Alligator mississippiensis: one gene and its partners. The protein of the gene in region 1 interacts with the protein of each later gene in a pairwise test. Links are inferred from orthologs where the notes say so. Each region holds a gene or a part of one and is shown on either strand. Other genes may lie near its edges.

Region 1 (6,918 bases):
TTTTCAGTTTTCTAGTCTTGACATTATTTTTTAAATGCAAGTATTTTTTCCCCCAGAATTCTCAGATTTTCAATTTACTCCTTTTTGCCTTCAGATGCTTTAAATGGATGTCAGTACTTAATTTTATTTTTATTACAACTTTATTACTAATTGGTTTTCCTCACACAACTCACTCCCATACTTTACAGTTAGGCTGAGAATCATTTTACTTTACAGTGGGCTTTATGTTGATTTGTTTTAATCTTTATGCCAATTGTTCTTTGAATATTCCTATTGCCTATGATGCCTGGAATGACTCTGTACAAAAGACTCATGGGCCCAGTCAGAGCCTCTCTTATTTCAGCAGGGCTCCATGTGGGCACAAGTGAATCCCAGTGGAGCTGGTCCCACAATCAAGGCATACATCAAACAGTATATTAACATACAGACTTTGATATTGGATTTGCCAAGTGACTCTACTCTTTTTTGCATCATTTATGAGTTTTAATTTGTGTCATTATATTATAATACCAAAGAAGAGATAGAAGAGACCCGTTAAATCACTGTCACCATTATAATTGATGTGAATTGTTTTTCAAAAGCCCTGCACAGCGATAGATATCTGGAATAAAGACAGAAGCTGACCCAAAGCACCAACAGTCTAAATTCTAAGGGCCATAGACAAAAATAAGAAAAAAGTGAAAGGATAGGACATATAACAATATTTGTGTGCTCATTTCAACTCTGCAAATTCAGGACTGGTGTCTACATTTCCCAGTTATTTCACATTGCCCTTCTCTTCTCTTTCCTTCTGTCAGTACAGCTCCTGTTCAAGTACTACAGAAAGCAGAGTACCAGTTGCAGTGTGGAACCAGTGGGAGTTTTCTAGATGGACGTGAGCCATGGAAAACAGCTGTTTCCTGCCTTCATCCAATCTGCCCTCAAATTTTCATGGAGTCCTGAGCATGCACAGCTCATTCAGAAAAAAAACTTCTCAGAGAGGAGATGGCAATATTCCTTTTACCATTCCTGTCCAAGTTATCACCAAGTTGGACTTGGCTGGTCATTTTGGTGCAAATGTGAGTGTAGCCCCATATACGTATACACAAAAACACATCTCCTTTATCCATTCCAGTAAAATCACCTTGGGTTATCAAACTAGGAAGAATGTAAAATATATTAGATCAGTGTTCATTCTATTCATGTCATTCTGGAATTAATCAGTTTTCAATCACATTTATCCTAAGGTTTTTATGCACAGCATTTCTCCAGCTCTGGTCCACACACTAGTTCCACAGAACTGGCTCTCCCTAGTTCCAGCTGGCAAACTACCTTAGAAACATCAGTAAGTTCTTAATAGGAATCTTTTTGTGTAACCATTGACTGATGTTGACAGATATTTTGTAACCGTGGCTAGGAGGTAGGGGCTATGGAACATGTACTAAAATCTCAATAAAAATATAATCAATGAAATCCCTGCAGTGTCACTCATTACAGACACTGCAGGAACTTTGCATGCTGCTTTTTACATTTCTGATAGATTTTGTGAAAGCCCTGATTCCCAAGGTGCACTGCCTTTCAATTCATACCCATTCCTCTGGCACAGAGTCAGCAGATGGTTCATATATATGTATTTAAGTTATAAAACAGGGGGTGGTAACCTCCAGCATGCATGCCAGAGCGTGGCACATGAAGACATTTTGCTTGGCAGGCCAGCCTTTGGGGCACGTGGTGGTGGAGCCACAAGGGGCCTGGATCCTTCTGGTGGCAGTGCAGCTCTAGCCCCTTCCCCACTGTCTGCCCTGAGGTGTGCATTCATCTGCTGCCAGCAACAAGCTGGGCTGGAGAGCTGCAGATCCCAGTGCAGCTGCTTGCAGCCTTCTAGCTGCAATATATTTATAGTATAAATATTTATATATATTATTCCATAAGTGTTCCTCATTACGGCCATGGTCCCAAACCCTGTAAAGTCAATGGGGAGGATGATTGAACCTTCCATTACTTTAGTTGACATTAAATGAGATATTTACACTTGAAAACAATTCTTCCAGTGGCTCACGTGCCTCATACCTCCTCTGCTTCTCAACAAACTGACAAAGACAAGACAATCACCAGCCACACCCTAGAAAGCAGTTTGAGTGGGGTGTTGCCCCATGGTAGCTACAAATCAGATTAGCTCAGGTACTCAGGTTACACAGCACTGCACTGGGCCAAGGTAGACATACCCTGAATCTTGACAGAGTTAAGTAGGTATAGCTTACACCTACGCCACACCAGTGTCCACAACTTGGTTTTGAGTCCTCTCAGGAAAGGGCAGGAATAGAAGGTAGGTCTCCCTCTTCCTGTGCAAGTGCTCCATCCATTGAACTACTGGATATAAAAGGGGAGCGCCACCTTTTCCTCTTGCTATATTATGAAAGACAAGAGTGACCCCTGCTCAGTTTTTGAAAGAAATGCCTACAGTGCCAGATTTAGGCTTAAGCTACAGCTTAGGGCCTCGCAATATGAGGGGCCTCTAAATAAGTAAAAAAACCTGACTCATTATTAAGTTTTATAATAATCAGTTGATAAATAAAGGAGATAAAGGAGATATGGGAAAATAACTCCCTAAATATGGACATTTTCATTCTGCGACAAAAAAAAAAAAAAAATATATATATATATATATATGGCTCTACAGTTATTATTCATATTGAGTTCATGAATTTGTGCAGAAATAATAATTCATCTTAAAATTTCACGAAAATCCATTTCTGTGGATTTCGTGGATTAGTTTTAGTTGAGGGCCTCAACATGTCATAATCCAGCACTGGCAAAAGGAACATCCGGTGAGTGTCACTACACCTGTCTCTACAGGTAAATAAAAGGCCCAAGTCCCAAAGAGAGGTGGGACTCCAGGTACACGCCTGTCCTCAGCATTTCCTATTCCCTCCCCAGTCAGACTCCCGGTTGCTGTGAACCCTGCCCCGAGACACCGCATTGCCCCTAGAGCGCCGAGAGTCCCAACCCAAGTCTGTGAACTATCGCGGGGCACCAGGCATCTAAAAGTAAGTAAGTATTGCCACACTCGCATTGTGCTGCCTCTGTTCTTTGATGGATCTTGGTCCTGGCCTTGTTCCTTTATGAACCTAGCCCATACGAGCTGCTTGGGCTCAGTACCTGCAGTTATACATCTGTGCTTATTTATGTATCAAAATCTGAAAATTTTACCCACAGGGACTTTCCAAACGTCCCACAGTGCCAGCTGTAGGAGGAGAAAGCTGCTTCTAGCCAGGAGCTGCTTCTGCCAACGCTCAGGGGGAAAAACAATCACCGAACAACTCCTCGACTAAAACTGGTTCCAACGAATGGAGACAACAAACCAGGTGGTTTAAAGGAAGCACCTGGCCGCTGAAGAGATATAAACGAGATAAAAAGAAAGGTGGAAAAAAAGCAAACTACCCTGAAGCAGAGAGAAACTGGACAATTGCTTTCCATGTTCTCCTTCTTAGTATTATGTGCACAATGGCCACCTCCCACTACGTTTTCCTTTTCCATTCTTCCAGGAATCCCGCTACACAAAAGGATGTCAACAAGGCATCCGCGGGCCGAGCTGGTTGCTGGCCGCTTCCTCTTCCTGTGCAAAGGCGGGTGTTTCTGTCTGCGGGGCAGCCGGAGCCAGGCCTGAAGCGCGACACGCAAACGCGCGGTGGCTGCCGCAACGTCCCCGAGCAAACCCGCCCCTCGGACACTACGGAAAGGGCGCGGGAGCGGCGCAGGCGACAGTGCAGGGTCCCCGCCCGTCAGCAGCGAGCTCCAGAGGGCAGGGACCCACGTGCGCCGGGACGCAGCGGCTTTCACTGCGCGGCGGGGCGGGGCGGGGCGGGGCCCGGCTGCCATTGCGGCGCAGGGAGACGGTTGGGCCCGGCCCCGCGCGTGACGTCACGGCCGCGGCCCAATCAGCGCGGGGCTCGGGGGCGCCGGCCGGGGCCGGGGCAGCGGGTGTGCGGGTGACGCGGCCCCCCCGGGCATGAGCATCATGGACTTCAACGTGAAGAAGCTGGCGGCCGACGCGGGCACCTTCCTCAGCCGCGCCGTGCAGGTACGGCGGGCCGTGCCGCTCCCCTCCCCGTCCGCGCCCGGCGCCTGCGGCCTCCGCTGTGCTGCGCCCGGGGCCCGGCGGCAGCTCCAGGCCCCGCGGGTCCGCCCGGCGCGGAGGGGCGGCAGGGGCGGGGACCGCGCCCAGCGCTGTCCTCAGCACCACGGGGGGCTTCGGCCCGGGGACGGGCGGCAGCAAGGGGCAGCCGTCTGGGGCTCGTCCTCGGGCGTCAGGAAATGGGCGGATCTCGTTGCAGCCTCAGCAGAAAGGCCCGGGCTGTCTGCTTGGCCCTTCCCGGAGAGAGGAAGGAGCAGTCCGGCAGCCCCTGACATGGATCTAGATCCTGCTCCCTGGGGTGAAAATTTCCAGCTGCTGCCAGGGCACACCAGGAAGTGCCCGCACAGACACACGCATGCCCCCCGCCCCCCACCCCAGCAATCCTGTTCTCTTTAATGAGCATCAGGCTGGTAATTGTGGATGCAACTTGGAAAGGAAAACTTGTCTGGGCGCTTCAGAGTTTCTAAAACATTTTCTCTTTCTTAACACGAAGGCTGCGGCAACCGTATCCCGGTTCTGTAGCTGCTGCCTTGGGCAATCATCCTCTTGCATTACAGAGCCGGGCGTGGAAAAGACTCGCTGCGGGCCCTGAGTGTCAAGAAGTGAGCTGGAGCTTGCCTGGGGGTTGCCAAAATGTTCTTGATGGGTCGCGGTCCCAGTCAGGCTTGTGGGCTGTTTATAGTTTTTAATGCAAGACAAAACAAAACGAGGGTTTAGTCCGAGCCCGGCTACAAGCCTGGCGACAATGCAGCACTCCTACATCTTTGCGTTCAAGGGAACACGTGAGCCAGCGGGATGGCTCGCAGAGGTGAGAGGAATGGAGCAGAAGGGCCAGCGCCATCGGATGCGTATTGCTAACGTACAGAAACAGTTACTTGCCGTAAGATCCTTGTAATGGTAACTTTCTTGGTTGGATCTCTCCTTCTGGCACACTTTGTTTTCTTTCCTCTTCCCTTTCAGGTCTAGGTGCTGGCTTTATGCTTTGCTGACTCCTTGAATCCTCCTTTCCCCACTTAGTTACCTCGAGTTATTTCTCTTTCTCCTCATTGAAAGGGGAGTACAGCAGATACAGTTTGCCCTTTATTCTAAGAGTCTTTGATGTGAATCTTGTCATCTTTATGGTTTATTTTGTGTATCACTCAAACCTAGTACAGATTTGGTGCAGCCTACTGCTCTGGTAAAACAGCTTGAGAAGGCAGGGCAGGCAGCAGAGATCATAGGAAGCTCATTGAGCATGGGGCGGGGGCAGTGTTTGCTGACCACCATCAGTGGGGAGTGCAGGGATGAGAGGAAGGGAAAGCTTACTTGTTTGGGCAGTCAGCTCTGCTCCAGCAGCAGCAGCCCTGTGGCTGGGCTCCCTGAGAGCCTCCCCTGGTGCCCTGCTCACTCCTTTTCCCCAGTCCTTGAGTGTTGGGCACGTGGCTGTGCTTGCCGTGACACAGACTCCACACTGGTGGGAGGGAAGCCACTTTCTGCTCTCTCCACTCACCCCCCCTGCCCTCCAGATACTTTGTTCAAGGCCAACAGAGTGCTGCCCAGCTGCTGTAGCCAGGCAGGGCTGTTCCTACCATGGCAAAGCCTGCCTTTTGTGGACTGGAGGATGATTACTGGTACTTCCTTTTAGTCAGCACTCAGGGTTGGGGGCCCTGCTGACCCTGCCCTAGTTATGTTACCACAAGGTAGCACTTTAAAGGCTAACTGGTTCAGAGGTATATGGTTTCATAGACAGTACGCTCCATAGCACGTGACAGAGTGGATCATTGCCTATGAAAGTTCTCTCTGAACTGGTTAACACTTAAAATGCTGCCCTGCTCTGCCTTTTGCTTGACTTCAGACTAACGTGACTTAACTACCTCTCTACTCAGGTAAACCATGTGAGCGATGACTCACACCCATGAACTTCCTCTAATCTACCTTGTTGACTTGCATCAGAGTAGCTACATCAGAGGGTAAAATTTATCCCTGTAAGACTTCCAAGAACATAATGGAACTGGAAATGTTTTCATGACTTAATCTAATTTTTTTGTACCCTAAACACTCCAGTAAATTATACATGAGAAGCAGAATCAGCTAGAGAAAGTGAAAGCAAGCCTATCTTGTTCTACTTCCCAAGCTGACTAGAATGAAGAATTAAATGACAAATTGTTTTACATTACTTTATTCATTATTAGGATTTGTGTAAAATGGTAAAGTGCCAATTATCCTTGATATTGGCTGAACAGTGTAATAGAATGGATCCCTGCATGTAACTTCCAGTAACACAACACAGTGTAACCTACCAGCAGCAACTCAGAATATCCTGTTTCCAGCAGTTCTTCATTCTTTATATTTCCTTTTTTTCATTTTGAGGAGTGGGAGGGGGGCATGATATAAAGAGCTTTGCAGAATGCTCTTCATGTCCCCTGATGTGAGGTTTTACAATCCAGGAGTGAGGGACTTTGAAGTTTGGTGGTCCTTCAGAGAGATTGCCTATCCACTTCTCTTATATGCCAGTGGAGTTTGATATTCTGTAGTACAGCAGCAAGAGAAAAGCAACAGGTCAGAGTGTTTAGCAAATTTTAAAAGGTACATTTGGAAGCGTAGAGGTTACCAGGGAAGACATGAGAAAGATATTGCAGCTACCAGGCAGGTAGCTGTGTTGTACAGTAGTTTCTGAGCCTGCTGCACATTCATATTAAAGCTGGATTGAAACCAGCTGTAGAGTTGTCACACATTGTCAAGCACTACCTTTATAGCTGGTTGGCTCTTTTTATAGTTGGTTAGTGATTTTTATTGTTTGATAATTTCTTTGTACTTGTGGCTGA
Region 2 (7,332 bases), on another chromosome or scaffold:
AGTTGCTGTTCCCCGGGAAGGCCCACGAACGTCAGACCGAAGGATCAAACCAGTCACCTTGCTGACATGTGCACTGTTTGCACACACACACCCTGGACCTGACAATGAAACTCCCGCTGGCTTCAATGGTGGGGAATCCAGGCTTGAAACGGGCCTTATACAGATCTTGTACAGGCCTACATGCAAGAATGCCTCTCCTGACTTCTGGGAAACTGCTTCTCCCAGCAAAGCAAACAGGACTGGGTCCGTGTAAAACCGTTCTCTCCCTTCCACATGCACATCCCCCAAATACCCAACACCTCCTGTTGCTTCTGACAGCCAAAGCTTCAGCATTTCCTCCATTTCACACTGGGGGAGACTGGTGCTGGGCAGTGGGAAGGGACTGAGTCACTAAGATGTGCTCCAATTACGTTAATTTTCTGCTTCAGATTGTCCACAAACACATGTTTTAGCGAGTGGGAAGAGACAGATCATTGCAAACAAAGAACAAACTCACCCGTCTTCCTTGGGCATCTTAGCTGCGATGCTGTCCTAATAAAATACGCACGCTGTGCATGCACACGGGTATTAAACACCACTGTTCTCGCTCAGGTTGCCTGATTTTTGGAGCAGGGACCATGGTTTTTTTTGTTAGGGGTCTGTAGGGAGCCTACTGCACACATCCTGGTCCATAGCAGGGGTTTCTAGCTCCTACCATCACACAAGCAGCGAATAAACACCATCATATTCCATGTCAGTGAGGCTGCATTTTACAGCCCCAACCCCAGCAATCTGGGGTATGGCAGCAAGGGAAAAAAGGACTTTGAAAGGGTCTTGCAGGCAAAACCAGCTGTTTATCTTACTAATTTTCCCCTTCAGCCACACACCCATGATTAAGATGCTCAGGACTCCCGGCCTGCCAAGGTGCACTAAGCACTATTTTACAAAACGCAGGTACGCTTTGCGCTGATGAGGCTGTAGGAAGCAATAAGCATTTGGCACCTGATGGCTGCCCAGAGCCAAGATGACAGGTCTGAAGAACGGGCCCAACCAATGCATGAAGCAGATACCTCAGGGGACACGTGCCCATCAGGGAGTGAGTCCCTGTTTACGCTGGGCAAGAGCTGTCCCCGCTGCACCGGCTTCCACCACAGGTTTAAAACAATTTGGGTTCATTTGCTTGAAGCGGAGGCTAGTGCCCCCCGGGTGAACAAGACTTAAACCTGTCCCAGCTGTGGCCCTGAGCCTGCAGGCTGGGCCCTAAAGGGGCTCCAGCTGCTGCAGGGCCGGGGTCACGCCCAGAGCCCTTTTACTGCTGCCTTGTGCAGGCATTTGGGGTCCGAGCCAAAACCCACTGAAGTCAATGGAAATGATTGGTTTGGATGCTACCCAGCTTGGGAGCTGTTTCCCTTTCAGCACTGCAAGGGGGGTTATTCAAGAAAAAGGGACAATTTACAGGCTTAGAGCTCATCCAGGCCATCAGATTCTGCCTTCCGAGCCTTTGGGGCCGGTTCTTGGTGCTGTCAGATCGCCCAGCCGGTGCGGCGGGATAAATCTGCCACAGAAGATGCACAGGAGCCTTTTCCAAAGTGCTTGTTAATTCTGTGTCCTGCGTTTCGCTCCCGCTCCCCCAGGAACCCATTCCTCCGCTCTGGATCCAGGTGACACATTGGGAGCATCTATGATGAGTTCACTGCCATGTTACTGTGTCAATCGCATGCAACACAGCCGATCTACTTCACGCCTTGATGCTTCGCCTCCGCAGCCAGCCTCCATTTTAGCCAGGTAATGCATGTGGGGGCTTTTTCAAAGCCCTGGGGAATGGATTATGGCTCCAGTGCAGCAGGACACTTAAGCATGTGCTTACCCACAAGCGTGTGGGGTTACTCACCTGCTTAAAGGGAAGCACATTCCTCCCTCGCTACTTGCTGGATGGAGCCTAGAAGAGGGGCACAAGTAGCCAGCCTGTCTTTTATGGCTCTGAAGGAAGAATATGGTTGATCTGCCCCTTTCCTTTATTGCAACCGGTTCACTGCAGGCACAGCCTTGACCCTCAGCACCCACACAGCAGGGGGGCAAGCGTTCTCGCCCCATCCCCGGGGACCAAGCAAGCTCTTCCCCTTTGCTAACAAGGAACAGGAACAGCCTCTACCTCCCTGGCCTCCCTCTTGAGGCTGCAAACGGGGGCCCTTCCCAGAGCTTTTGCAATCAAGGGTCTTGGTGGAGGTCTCTGAAGAGAGGCCTGGAGTCTCCCAGAGAGCTGCCCGTGCCACCTTGCAGCCCTGGGCACAACGAGGCGAGGTAGGGCGGAGCGTGAGCCTAACACCCGTGCACCTCCTGGCATCATCCGTGCAAGCCGGGCTCTTTGCACGGCTTTCCACGCCGGCGCCTGTGGAACGTGGGGGGGATCCGTGCCATTCGGGCAGCGTCATCAGCCGGCCGGGCAATAGCATCTCAGAGCAGGAGCAAACTATGATATCATCTGCCGTTCCCCGGGTGTTGGGGGGGGACAGGCAGGGCTGGATCTCGCATTGCTTGGTGTGCACACATGCCCCCTGCCAAGCAGACGAGGGGGGAAAAAAAATGCCTTGTGCCACCGATTCACCCCCCTGCCTCTACCCATCCAAATGAAGCCCTGCAAAATGCCCCGTCGGGTGGGTGCAGCCAGGGCTCCAGCGGGGAGCTGGGGGGGGTCCTGTCCCTCTGCAGGGAAGGAAGGCAAGCATCCCCAGTGCCAGGACAGCAATGACAGCTGGTGGGGGGGAGATGCCCCCCTGCCTCCACGCCATGCCAGGCTCCCAAACCCCCTAGGGGAAAGAGGTGCATGCCAGGCACCCGGGCAGGGGCTCTGCCTTACCCAGGATGCGATCCGCAGCAGGGTCTGCGGCTGCTTGAGGAAATCCAGGGGGTCGAAGGCCCCCCCTGCCCGGCCGGCTCCGAAGGAGGCTCCTTCCATCTTCGCTGCTGCTGCGCTGCGCCTAGCAGCGACTCCGGTGCGGCTCCAGCCCGCATCTCCCCCGCCCACCCCCGCCTCGCTGCAGCGTGGGCTCGCCCACTGGCCCGCGGCGCCGGGCGGTGGGAGGAACCATCCCGGGAGGGGGGGGGAGGAGGGACCTGCAGGTGCATCGCTGCCTGCCCGGGGCTTCACTTCCCAAGCTCACCTGTCCTTCCCCGCGCGCCTCCAAGGGGGGTTTGCTGCACGCTTGCCAGCCCCCATTGCAGCACCCGTGCACGCCCTGTGCATGGGGGTGCAGGGCCAAGGGGGCTGCGGGGGGGCTCAGCCCGGACAGCCACCCATAGGTCACCCATGCAACCCTTGTGCATGGGGGTGCAGGGCCAAGGGTGGCTACAGAGGGGCTCTGCCCTGCCCTGCCCTGCCCCAGGGGCTCAGCTCTGGAGAGCTACCCATAGGCCATCCATGCCACCCCTGTGCATGGGGGTGCAGGAGGGCTCTGCCCTGACCCAGGGGCTCAGCCCTGAGAGCCACCCACAGGCCACCCATGCAACCTCTGTGCATGGGGTGCAGGGCCAAGGGTGGTTGCAGGAGAGCTCAGCCCTGGAGAGCCACTCATAGGCCACCCATGCACCCCTTGTGCATGGGGGTGCAGGGCCAAAGGGGCTGCAGGAGGGCTCTGCCCTGCCTCAGGGGCTCAGCCCCAAGAGCCACCCATAGGCCATCCATGCATCCCTTGTGCATGCGTGTGCAGGGCCAAGGGTGGCTCAGCTCTGCCCCGGTGGGCTCAGCCCTGAGAGCCACCCACAGGCTACCCATGCAATCTCTGTGCATGGGGGTGCAAGGCCAAGGGTGGTTGCAGGAGGGCTCAGCCCTGGAGAGCCACTCATAGGCCACCCATGCACCCCTTGTGTAGGGGGGTCAAGGGCCAAAAGGGCTGCAGGAGGGCTCTGCCCTGCCCCGGGGGGCTCAGCACCCATAGGCACCCCGCTGCCCTGAGCCACGCAGGCTTCTGGGGGGCCGGGGAGAGAAGATGGAAATCATAGAAAAACAGAAAAATGAGGGCTGGTAGGGACCTCAGGAAGTCTAGTCCATCCCCCTGCTCCAAGCAGGAATGATGATGGGTGGATGATGGGCTCCTCCATCACTGATGATGGGTGGAGGGGTTCCCCATCCTCTGCCCAAAGGGCAACACGCCCTGAGCCAAGAGCCTGGGACCTCCCCCAAAATCTCAGGCAGCAGAGGCCGAGCAGAAGGTGGCCGTGATGCCGTGGTGTGGATGGGACTGGCTCATAGCTAGGAGGGAGGGAGCATGCTGGCTGGGCCACCCTGGAGGGAAAGGTTTTGCTGCCTCCAGCCTTGCAGCCACCTGCTCTTCGGCCTGAAGAGTAAGAGGGGCGGGTTGGTTGGGCTGAAGCTCGTGTTTTCCACCTGCAGGAAAAGCCAAGCCATCTTGCTCTACCCAGATGGTCTGTTGGGGCCGGAGGGATCTGCCGCTTCTTGCCCCTGGCTCTTATGCTGGCTGGTGAAGGAACGAAGAAAAGGAAGCTGAGCCCCATGGAGGGAAACCCCACCTGGTTTCCAAGAGAGTTTCCCCCCCACCGACTGCAGGATCATGTCCTTATTTAGTTTTCCTAACGCAATGATGATGATTTTGGTTTCATAGATACCGATACCATGACAACTTTGACATCATTGCTCTGCTCAGGACAGGAACAGGCAGGAAAAGTAACCGTGAGGCCTGAACAGACAGGTGGTCGGAGCCTGGTTCTGTTCCTGGCTCTGCCACTGACTCCCCTTCTGACCCGGGGAAAACCATCTTCCTTCTCTGTGGCTGTTTCCCCACCTGTGACAGGGGGATAATGCTACCGGCCTGCCTCGCCTTGGGGGTGATGTGTGCAACAAGCTTGGAGAGTCCTGCCGTGCAGGATGCTATGGTCCTAGCACTGCCCTCTGTGCTTCCCCCTCCCAACCAGCCCAGCCCTCGGGGTTAAATCTGCATCCTTGTCTCTGACAAGTGCGGTCAGGAGATTTAATGGCCAAGGCTCGTTAGGATGCCATTCAGTTTTTCTCAATTCCAGGTGAGTCATCATTTCTCTAGATCTATTTCTGACTCCCAGCAGGAAGAGCAGGATTCAGCCTTTCATCCCTCAATGTCACCAGCTCAGTAGAAATCACATTTTACTATGAAAAAAATAAAAGGCTATTAAGGGAATACCAGGCTACCCCTAGTGCCTTCGCTACTGCAGGCTGTCTCACTGGGCTGCGATGGGATGCTCCTCAGGGGACGTCGACAGCCAGGGATTGCCACCCCATGTGAACTGCAGTCTGGGAGAGTGTGATCTAAGTGACTTAGGAGCCCAAATACCTTTGGCTTTCAGCAAGACGTGTTCTCCAAATCACTTTGCTGCTTCTGAACATCCCGTCTCAGCACAATAAAGCAGAGGTGTGCACAGTCCTAGGGGCAGATCCAGCTCAGGGACATCTGCAGTGTGTTCAGGTGCCTTTTGCTTTTTAGTCACTGGCCAGATAGCCCTAAGTGTCCTCAACTCCCACAGTCAAAGTCCTTGGGGAGAAGAATTGGTGCATTTCTGAACAGTTGCAGTCGAGATCTGCCTAAAATGCACCATTGAAAAGTTAGAGTCTATTCCTCCCTGTCTAACCACCCAACTCCCACATGCTGGTACTGCTTTTTTAAATGAATCCTTGTATTGTTTGATGTGTGAAACCAACATGCACAAAACACCCCCCTGCATACACGTGTGCACTCACAGCTGAAGAGGAAGACACAGAGCTCAACACTAATTTCTAATCGACAAATGAGAAGTGGTAACAGATCAGAACATTTAATTGGTGTCCACTGAATTACTGAGCCCACAAACACCCAGCGTGAAAACCACCTGAGGGGTTCAGAAATGCATGTGGTACAGGGCACACTGGTGCCTCGGTAGTGGACAGGCAGCAAGGTTTGTGGCAGAAGTGGCTGATAACAAGCAGGCACCTGGCAAGCTGCATTGTGCACCTAGCTAGTTATATAAAGAACATCCATTTACCTCCGCGGGGCACCATCACACTAACTTTGTGCCATGAACAAACAAGCAAGTTCACAATCAAAAAGCACACCCGAGAGCTATATACATCAGCATTCGGAAAGGGAAAGGAACAGCTGTAGGCAACGGTCGATCCTCTGGATCGTGGTGTGCATGTAAGAGGTCTAGTCAGGTGCCTCATGCATCCGGTTGTGGCTGACGAGGCCAATTTGAGAGTGACACAGCTTGTTACAAGTTTCACAGATCCATGTGTTGTCTGAGTTGGAGTCCAAGTTTACAGCAGGCTGCTTTCTTCTTTCTCGCTTGGCTTTGATCCTCTGGATCAAAGCCACTCCAATTTGAGCTGCACCCAGTGCCAGATGTTCCCTCTGGATCAGACGGGATTCTGCATGCTCCTCCCAGCTTTCTATGCTGATGTTGAATGACTTCATATCATTTTTGCATACATCATGGTACTGCCATAGAGGGAGACCCTGGTTTCTAGAGCCGTCTTGAATCTCGCTGTACAAAATATTCTTGGGGATGCGGTCTCCTCCCATTCTCCCGACATAGCTGATCCATCACGGTGGTTTCTGAGTGTGTCAGTTCTATGTGCTCCAGCACCTCTGTGTTTGGTATTCTGTCTTCCCACTTCATTTTCAGGATCTTACGCAGACATCTCATGTGGACGCTGTTCAGTCTCGATGTGCCTAGCATATTTAGTCCATGTTTCTCAACCATAAAACAGGGATGACAGCACACAAATCTCATAGATGCGCATCTTCACCTTACCTGATGGGTTGCTTTTATTCCATGCACGTTTCTGCAACAGCCCGAAATTCTTAGCTGCTTTTCCAATTCTGATAGTTCGGTCTGAAAGTCAAGATTCCTGCTGATTGTGGAACATAAGTAGCAAAAAACATTGACGACACCAGGAGATTTATCTTCCAGAGTGATGTTGTTGATGTCAAAAGTGTTTAATTCTTTGTTTAAACTACAGCTGCCTTTATTCGCTTGATATAATAAGTGAATGATGCTCAGTAGCTCAGGGGACAACATAGCTTCTTCAGAACAGTTTCTTCCGTTGACTGTATGAAAGGCTTTTGTCAGATCGATGAGGGCTATGCATAGTGGTATTCATTTTTCTCTTCACTTCTCTTGCAGTTGCTTGACCGAAAATATATCAGTGGTGGAGCGTCCTGAGCAAAAACTGCGTTCGCTTTCAGGATAGATTCTTTCACCTCGAGACTAGTTAGAACTTCAGCAAACAAATAGAAATCTTAAAATATTATGCACGTGAATCCCTGATGGTACAGGCCCAGCTTCCCAATCCAACTGCAAAGTGAAATTGTAACCTTCTCCCAACTCAGC
Region 3 (7,984 bases), on another chromosome or scaffold:
AGTGAGTGCGGGGTTTTTGTTTTAAATTGCCGGGATGCTGGGGCCCAGAGGGGCAGCAATTGGCGGGGGGGGGGGGGGGGGGGGGGGGGGGGGGGGAAGGGGACAGGGCTGGGCTGGGCTGGGCTGGGCAGAGCACTGATAGGGGGGCTCGGGGGGCAGGCAGGGGATGGGGCTGGGTAGGGCAGGGATTGTGGGGGCTGGGGGAGTGGGCTGGATCCCCCCTCCCTCCCAACTCCCTACCCCAGTCCAGCTCCCCGTGGCTGGCATGCTGCCTGCTCTGCACAGGCAGGGCTTCAGCACCAGGTCAAGGGCCAACCATAGAGACATTCTGGCAGCTACCAGAGCATCTCTGTGGAAGACCTAGCCTCTGGTTGCCTCAGGGCGTGGTCCAGGACCATGCCCTGCCCTGCTTTTTTCCCCACTATGGATTTTTTCGACCCTTGGATATGGGGTCTAATTTTGCCCCCGCACCACTAATTTGCATTGCAGGGAACATTTTTTTCATTCCCACATATGCCTCTTGCAGCATAGATTGGGAGCAGAGTAGACTGGGCCAGGAAAAAGCAGAAACAGCATGAAAGCAACTTCCAGCTGCCTGGTGGCAACACAGCTCTCCGTCAACTAGAAGCTGCACTTACACTGCAGCCAGGGAGCAGCAGTGGTGGCACGGACACAGGTCCCAGCTGCATGGCTCCAACGGAGATGCAGGGAAAGAACACCCTGCCCTCCCCCACAAAGCTCTCCAGCCTGCACCAGAATGGGGCATGGCTGTTCTGACATGTGGCTTGAAAAAGGTTGCCAGCTCCTGAGCTAATGAAACATCTGCAGACTTCAGGGCATGATCTTCCATTTCTGTTATTTGCATGGCACCACACACAAAAGGGCTCTGGTCCATGACAGGGGCTCCTTTGCACCACAATACAAAGAGTTCAGAAAACAGCTCTAAGAGGGGACAAAAAAAAATTATGACTGGATATTTATCCACTGGACTAGATGATCTTCAGTTTTTTCCCCTTTTTCATGCCAGTGTGTAACCCTTATGAAAGAACAGGTCCATTATGACCGAAGTGCTTGGCCCCATTTAATGGACCACTCAGGTGGAAAATTAAAGAGCATCCAAATATTTGCTGCTCAGACTGGCAGGTCTAATGGCAGGCCTCCCAGTCGCATCTTCCCACTTGGGACACGCCAAGCTCAATACCTTGCCAGCTTGTAGCAGGACTGCTTTCAAAGCATTCATCCATTTTCAGCCCTCCTCTGTGAACAGAATCAGGCACTTTGGTGCCCACCGCATTTACTCAATTGCGCAAACAAGCACCCAACACTCCAGCTGGATTGTGAACAAATCATTCAAAAGTGTCAGATTTTAATGAGCCAGAGAAAAAAAAGTTTAAAAGGTGGAGCCCCAACACAAAAACCAAAAAAAATGCAAAACTGCTATTTGGATATTGTTGATTTAAGATAAAGTCCTTCAACACCCTTGGAGTTACCGTGTGAATTTACCCTGAGGTAACATCAAAAACTCATTTGATACAGTGCTGGCAGAATTTGTTGCATGCCTAGTAAATCCCCTCTGTGCACATCACCTGCTAGACAAAGATTTCTTTCACATACACTGTCAATAAAGGAAAGAAGCCAACTACCTACAGGGAGTGACACACCCAAGAAGGTTTCCTTACCTGCATTTTCCCCATGGCAGCACTAAACTGCTCTTCAGCAGTGGCCTGAAACGTCCTTGCAATTGCAGCTGCATCACCACCAAGAAAAACTTGCCGAAGCTGTCCTGCTTGGGTTTCTACGACTGCCTTGCTCAGCTTAGCCAGGCCTCTCATCAGCATGAAGATGTCGCCCGCCATGACTAACCCCTGTACGTGCTGAAAGACAGAATCAGAGTCATGAAATACAGCAGCTAGGGAAAGATTTCCAATGGCACAGCCCCAATGCTTTCCAGCCCCTCTAGGCAGCTGCTCCCTTAGGAAGGCCCTTTGGCTCAGAGCTCCAAAAGGATGCTGGCCAAGCTGAACCCCACAAGATGATGGTCACATTTTATAAGTGTGCAATGAAGGATGACACTGGGATCCCCCACACCCTCAGATTTATATACAATAGCTTTAGGAGAAGCAGAGGTGGGTAAATCTCCTGGGCATATATATCTCATTCCTTCCCTGACTTCTATGAGTTCATAAGCATCAATGTTTATCAAGATCTGAAACACCTCCGATAGACCTGTTTGCCCAAGAAAAGAGTCTGCTAGTGTGAGTGAAGCATACTGCAGCTGCCACACCCACTCCTTCCAGGAGTCAAGCTGACTGAGTTCACTAGGCCATACCTTCCCTACCAAAGCAAGACGTAAACTCTACCAAGGCCCACCAGTTAGTTACTTCTGTCCTCAAATACATACCACCCTTGATACTTTCTGCCACATGTACTCGTCATTCAGGGTATGGGCAAATGAACAAAGTACAGAGAGTTGACGGGGGCATGAACTTACTATGCATCAGATGCTCCACAGTAACTGTCCATGTGTCTACTGTAAATTAGCTCTATTTTCATTAGGGGCTAAGACATAACAATTTAGCAGGCCCAGACAGACAGACAGCTGCTGCATATCAGGTGCTCTGTACTAAGTCCTCCACCCCATTAGATCACTAATTTGTTCAGACCCTTGGCTAGTTCTAGGCTCACCCCTCCCCAGAGTTGCCAACCATCCATAAATTTAGGCCTGTTCTTTATGGTCTGTCCATAATAACCACATGTCCATGAAGTTGGTAAGAAAAACCTCAGATGTCCATAAAAGCACTAAGCAATCAGAGCTTGAATGAAGATTCCTCATCAGAGGCAAGTGTTGAAGAGCAAAACACCTGATGTCTGAGCTGGAGTGCAGCATGCTGCAGGAAGCCTCCAGCACTTCATGGCCCCTCACCACCCACCTTCCCCAGCTACATGCTTGTGCTATGACCCTACCTGTAACACTGCTGCAGGAAGGCAGAGCATAGTCCTTCTTTGGGTGTCCACGATAGGATGGGAAGGCATGGCCAGCAGAAATAAGGCTGGGGGATTGGTTGAGGAAGGGTTGGGGGACAGGGTATAATCAGGGGCATCAGGGTGTGGGGATAAAACAAGAGGTCCCTGGGGTGGGGACAGCATGGTGTAAAACTATAGCTGCAGGTCAAGCAGGGTTGTCAAACCAGGATTTTTTTATTTTTTTTTTTTTAATATACCTACAAACATTTTACTGACAACCATACTTTTTCACTATGGTTGGAGTTAAACCCTAAATTTGACCCTAAATATGGTTGGAGTTAAACCCTTGTCCAGGGCCTGGCAGAAGGGTTATATTATGTAAAGCATAAAAAGTTTAAAAAATAAGTTCTGGGTTGGCAACCCTACCACTCTTCCAGAAAGGAGTCTCTTCTGGGATGTCCCCCAGGTAATATCTGGAACCCCTTATTGCTTTCAAGGCTCTGCAGCTGCTGCAAACCTGGGCATGCAGAAGGTCCCTAGACTCCCAGCTCCTGTTCTACATATAGGCCACAAAATGTTCTTCCCTTTGCTTAAAGGAGATGTGTTCATTACTCTGTCCTTCTTTCCAACTCTGTACTTCCCTTTCTGGTGCTGCATAAGTATCTGTTGGCCCTGCCAATCTGCTCCTTTCCTCCCTTTCTGGAGTAGGACCAATGGCCCCCTCAGCGTTCTCTCATGGACAGGATTTGCACTCAACCTGGTGTAGGCCAGGTTTTCCCAAATCCTACTGATTGTAATTTTAGGGGTTTCCAAATATATAAACTCACTAAGCTTAACATCCCACAAGGAAAGTAGTGCTCAACTGTTTGGCCCCGTCGGCTAGATAAGTGGTGCAGGGATGGATTGGATTGTGCCCCTCATGTGAGCACACCCACACAGTGGCAGCCCCCAAGCTGCCACTGCATGCCAGGATCAGGCCCTGCAGTCCCCCACTGATGAGACTGAGAGCCCTGCATGCTGAGATTGTGTCCTGGGATGCTGCACTGCCCCCGCATGCAGGGATAAGGCCCTGTGCATTGGGAACAAGTCCCAGTGCCCCATTCTGCCTCCACCCAGTCCTGGCCCTGCCCTGCACACCAAAATTTAGCACACAGGGCCATACTATCCAGCCCACAGGGCTCCCCAGGGGTCTGGAAATTTAGCAGCAGGGGAGTAATGCCACTGTTCCCCACTGCAAATTTTAGGACCTGTAAGGAGCCTGCAGGCAGGGTGATATGGCACAAGGGGTCAGTTCTGGTCCGCTGGCTGGGAGTTGAGTACGCTGCACTAGAGTATTATGCAATTAATGTTGCTCCATGTGCCCAGGCTGAAAGGTAAAGCGCCCTGTTTGAAACAAACCATTAATGTAATTTCAGCACATTCAAACACAAAGAAACTTGATATGGAGGACATGTGGTAACAGAATGGTTACTTTAGAAGAGTGATTCTCAACCAGATTGCTGCTTTCAAAGGGTGCTACAAGGTGCAACAAAATAAGCAAGTGGGAGAAGATAAGGGCAGACCCAGGCTCCTACCTGCCTGGCTACTACCCTGCTTCCAATGCTCAGGCCTTCTGCAATTAGGTAAGCGCTGTTAAAAAACTAATTTATTTATTAATGGCATGCTGCTCAATTCACAAATTATGGAGATCTCTCAAGTCAAATGATGAGTGCCTCAAGTCTAAAAAGTTTGAGAAGCACTGCTTTAGAAGAATAAACTCAGAACAAGGCTTTCAAAAGGCACTCAGCACAATGGTCCCAAGGCACTATTACTAGAAAAAGATGATAAAAATTAATTCTTCCAAGCATAACTGCTTGGCAGCACAGGAGATCAATGAGTGCAGTGTAAATAGGACATCCACTGCACCCAGAGCGCACTGTGCCAAGCAGATTTGCAACTACTGGGAGGAAACTATTGTGTCCACATATTTTGCTTATACCTCCAGCTCCTCTACTACAAACAGTGGCAAAACTAGTGTTCTCTACAGCAGAATTTTCAGGACCCCAAAAAGGTCACATTGCCAGGGCTGGCTCACTCATACATGTACTCCTCCAAGCCCTTCAATACAGAACAAGGGATGCCATCTAAGGCACAACTCAACCCATGGAAAATTCTCTCTGGTCTGGAAGAATATAGTCATCAATGAGTCATTCAGTTCTGGCTGCAGTCTCTACAGGTTACTCAGACTACTTCCTGGATAACTGTGCAAAGTCATCATTTCATTTTTAGAGCATGTTCTGTCAACCTGCACTCACACACAAGCACAGAACAAGTCATGAACATCAGCACAGACCAAGTGCTGTAAACCCAGTCAATGGCACATACAACACTATGCCATCCAGTCTATAAGTGACTGGATCCAGTTGTCTTCTGAGAAAAAACTTAGGGCTTCTCTACAAGAAGGGTTATGTGCCAATTACACAGGAAAAGCACAGCTTGCCTTGGGATAAAACAACTGAGTTCCAGGACAGCCTGAAGAAATAGCATCAATGAGTCATTTACAGTTCTGGCTGCAGTCTCCACAAGTCACCATGAGACTATTTCCTGGATAACCATGCAAAGTCATTATTTCATTTTCAGACATTTTGTCAACATGCACGTGTGCATGCATGCACACACGCACAAGCACAGAACAAGTCATGAACATTAGCACAGTCCAAGGGCTGTAAACCCAGTCGATAGAACATATAGTATTATGCCATCCACAAACTACAAATGACTAGATCCAGTTGCCTTCTGTGGAAAAACAACTTTTCTTGAAGAGAAGCTCTACATACCAGTCACACAGGAGCAGGATGGCTAACCTTGGTATAAGAGAGGTGAATTCCAGGACAGCCTGACAGTTCTTGTAAATCAAGGGCAAAAATTCTTGGTTACTGATGTATTTGTTGAACAAACGGAATGATCAAGGGCTGAGAAAATGAATCAGTCTCTCTATTTACTATTATACTATACAGCCATTTACTATTATACTATTACTGTTATAATGGATACATGGCAACCTCTAACTACAGCATAACTTATACCATTAGGGGCACAGAGGTCAACAACGTACCAGCGCTACAGGCACAGTGGCACAGGAAGTGTCAAAGTCCACCCCCCCACCAGTGAAGTGCTAGGTACAGACACCCTCCACTTCCCATAATGCCTCAGGTAAAAGCAGTGGCGCTGGGCACTTTTGTGCAGCCACTGAGAAAGGTGGCAGTCCTAGCACTCACCCTTCACATGCCCACCTGCATCTGACCCAAACTGGTTCAATTCAGCTCCTGACACCTCACAACCATGGGTCAGATCAAATGGCTCCATGAGGGGGCCATAGGTTGCCAATGCCTAATCTACAGGATTGTTGTCTGGACTGGAAAAAAAAGATATTAACCAGCACAGCATTATTGTCCAAGCTGAAATATTAAAGCATAAGAACACACTATTATGAATGTTAGGGTATTAGTAACTAAGAGTTCAATAACACAGGCATGGACCACAGTTTAAATGCATAAGCTCCTCTTTCACTATCTGGAGCACTGGGAGATGGAGTTGAAACTACTGGAGCAAGAGTAATGTATTCAAGGAAAATTAAATGGGTCCATACTAACACCTAGCCCATCTAAAAAATTAAATATTAAAACCAAACTCTTCCTTTCACTCAAACAGGAGTTCAGGAGCTGATTTTGCCAACAGACCACAGAAGTCATATAGCTGAAAAGATGCTTAAGAATTGATGTCTTGCAACAAAAACAAAACAAGTTGAGAAGCTAAAAAAGCCACAAATGGAAAACATATTGCTCAATATGCACTCAACGCTCAACTGCTAAATATAACAATGAGCAAATATGACCAGTTCCCATTTGTTGGTTTTAGCTATAAAGCAGATATTGAGTCAAACTCACTGCTAACAAAATTCTGTTGACTTCCATGAGATTGCATCCATTTCAGCCAACAATGTTTTAACCCTTTCACCACCTACAAGACTTTGCCTATAGTAAGTTCATTCAAAATGCTCAGGGATGAGACCCAGGAGACTGCCTTTCAGCACCTCTGCTTAGGAAGTGGGCCATCTACCTGGCAGTTACAAGCTCAGCCAAGGTGGCCATGTAAGTCTGCCTTTATTAGCATGTGGGGAGGCATAGCACAGCAGGGCGTATATCCATTTTCTATGCAAACATTTTTGTCTATCATGTTGGACACAAGCACCAAATGGACTCCTGGGGTCCACTATGAAGCAAGATTCTTTGCAAGAAGGCTCCATGACAGTGGGATGTTACTAAAATAAGAAACATCAAGTAGTAGACTATATAAAAGAAACAGTTCTAATGTTAAACTGGAGAGGTGCTTGTTGTTTGACTGTATATTGTGACAGTACTGTAGGTATGCCTAGAATTTTATAAAGCCACACTGGACACAGGTCGTGCCTTAAGGAGCTTGTACACCAACTCAAAAACTGAGCACTCCTCAGCTCCACAAGGGTGTGAAATTGTCAATGGCAAGGAGATCACCACAAATAAAAGGTCGATAGAAGTAGGATTTTAAGAGTCACAATCCTGAATTCTACTGCACATTACTGTTAGCTCCCCTCTTATTCTTAATGCTCTGCATGCCCCATGTTGGTCAGTATCCAAGCATCAAGTAGAGCAAAGGAAAAAAACAAGCTTACATGGTGCCTGGTTACAGACCTCTTCCAAGAGGAAGTTGTAAACCAGGAGAATAAACATTCATTTTCAGTAACGTTAGGCTCCCCAGGAAGGTAGATTTCCTGTGTAGGGGAAAAAAAAGAAAAAAAAAAAAGGAAAAAAGCGAAGCACCCAATTTTGAAGAGCTCATGGACAAAAGGACACGCAAAACTCAGTTACTCTGAGAGGGATATGGAAAGTGGAAGTCAAGAGACTATCAAGGAATGGACAGGAAGGCATGGAAGAGAATGAAAATAACCGGGAGAAAAAGGAGGCCAAAACTGGGAAGATTACTTTTCCTCTCCTCTGGTCTG

What was found.
Region 2: the proteins of SH3GLB1 (region 1) and SYNGR3 interact in binary tests that used the Homo sapiens proteins (3 or more experiments, as listed by UniProt). The link is inferred for Alligator mississippiensis from reciprocal best matches to the Homo sapiens genes SH3GLB1 and SYNGR3.
Region 3: the proteins of SH3GLB1 (region 1) and COQ8A interact in binary tests that used the Homo sapiens proteins (3 or more experiments, as listed by UniProt). The link is inferred for Alligator mississippiensis from reciprocal best matches to the Homo sapiens genes SH3GLB1 and COQ8A.

What each region holds. Positions count from the first base shown.
Region 1 is NC_081828.1:29,566,708-29,573,625, forward strand, and holds the start of SH3GLB1 (endophilin-B1), read left to right. Parts: upstream 1-3,917; 5' UTR 3,918-3,988; coding exon 3,989-4,060; intron 4,061-6,918. UniProt on the Homo sapiens protein: May be required for normal outer mitochondrial membrane dynamics. Required for coatomer-mediated retrograde transport in certain cells. May recruit other proteins to membranes with high curvature. May promote membrane fusion.
Region 2 is NC_081836.1:57,372,373-57,379,704, reverse strand, and holds the start of SYNGR3 (synaptogyrin-3), read right to left. Parts: upstream 3,010-7,332; 5' UTR 2,936-3,009; coding exon 2,837-2,935; intron 1-2,836. UniProt on the Homo sapiens protein: May play a role in regulated exocytosis. May indirectly regulate the activity of the plasma membrane dopamine transporter SLC6A3 and thereby regulate dopamine transport back from the synaptic cleft into the presynaptic terminal.
Region 3 is NC_081824.1:179,104,567-179,112,550, forward strand, and holds the start of COQ8A (atypical kinase COQ8A, mitochondrial), read right to left. Parts: upstream 3,010-7,984; 5' UTR 2,995-3,009; coding exon 2,965-2,994; intron 1,875-2,964; coding exon 1,680-1,874; intron 1-1,679. UniProt on the Homo sapiens protein: Atypical kinase involved in the biosynthesis of coenzyme Q, also named ubiquinone, an essential lipid-soluble electron transporter for aerobic cellular respiration.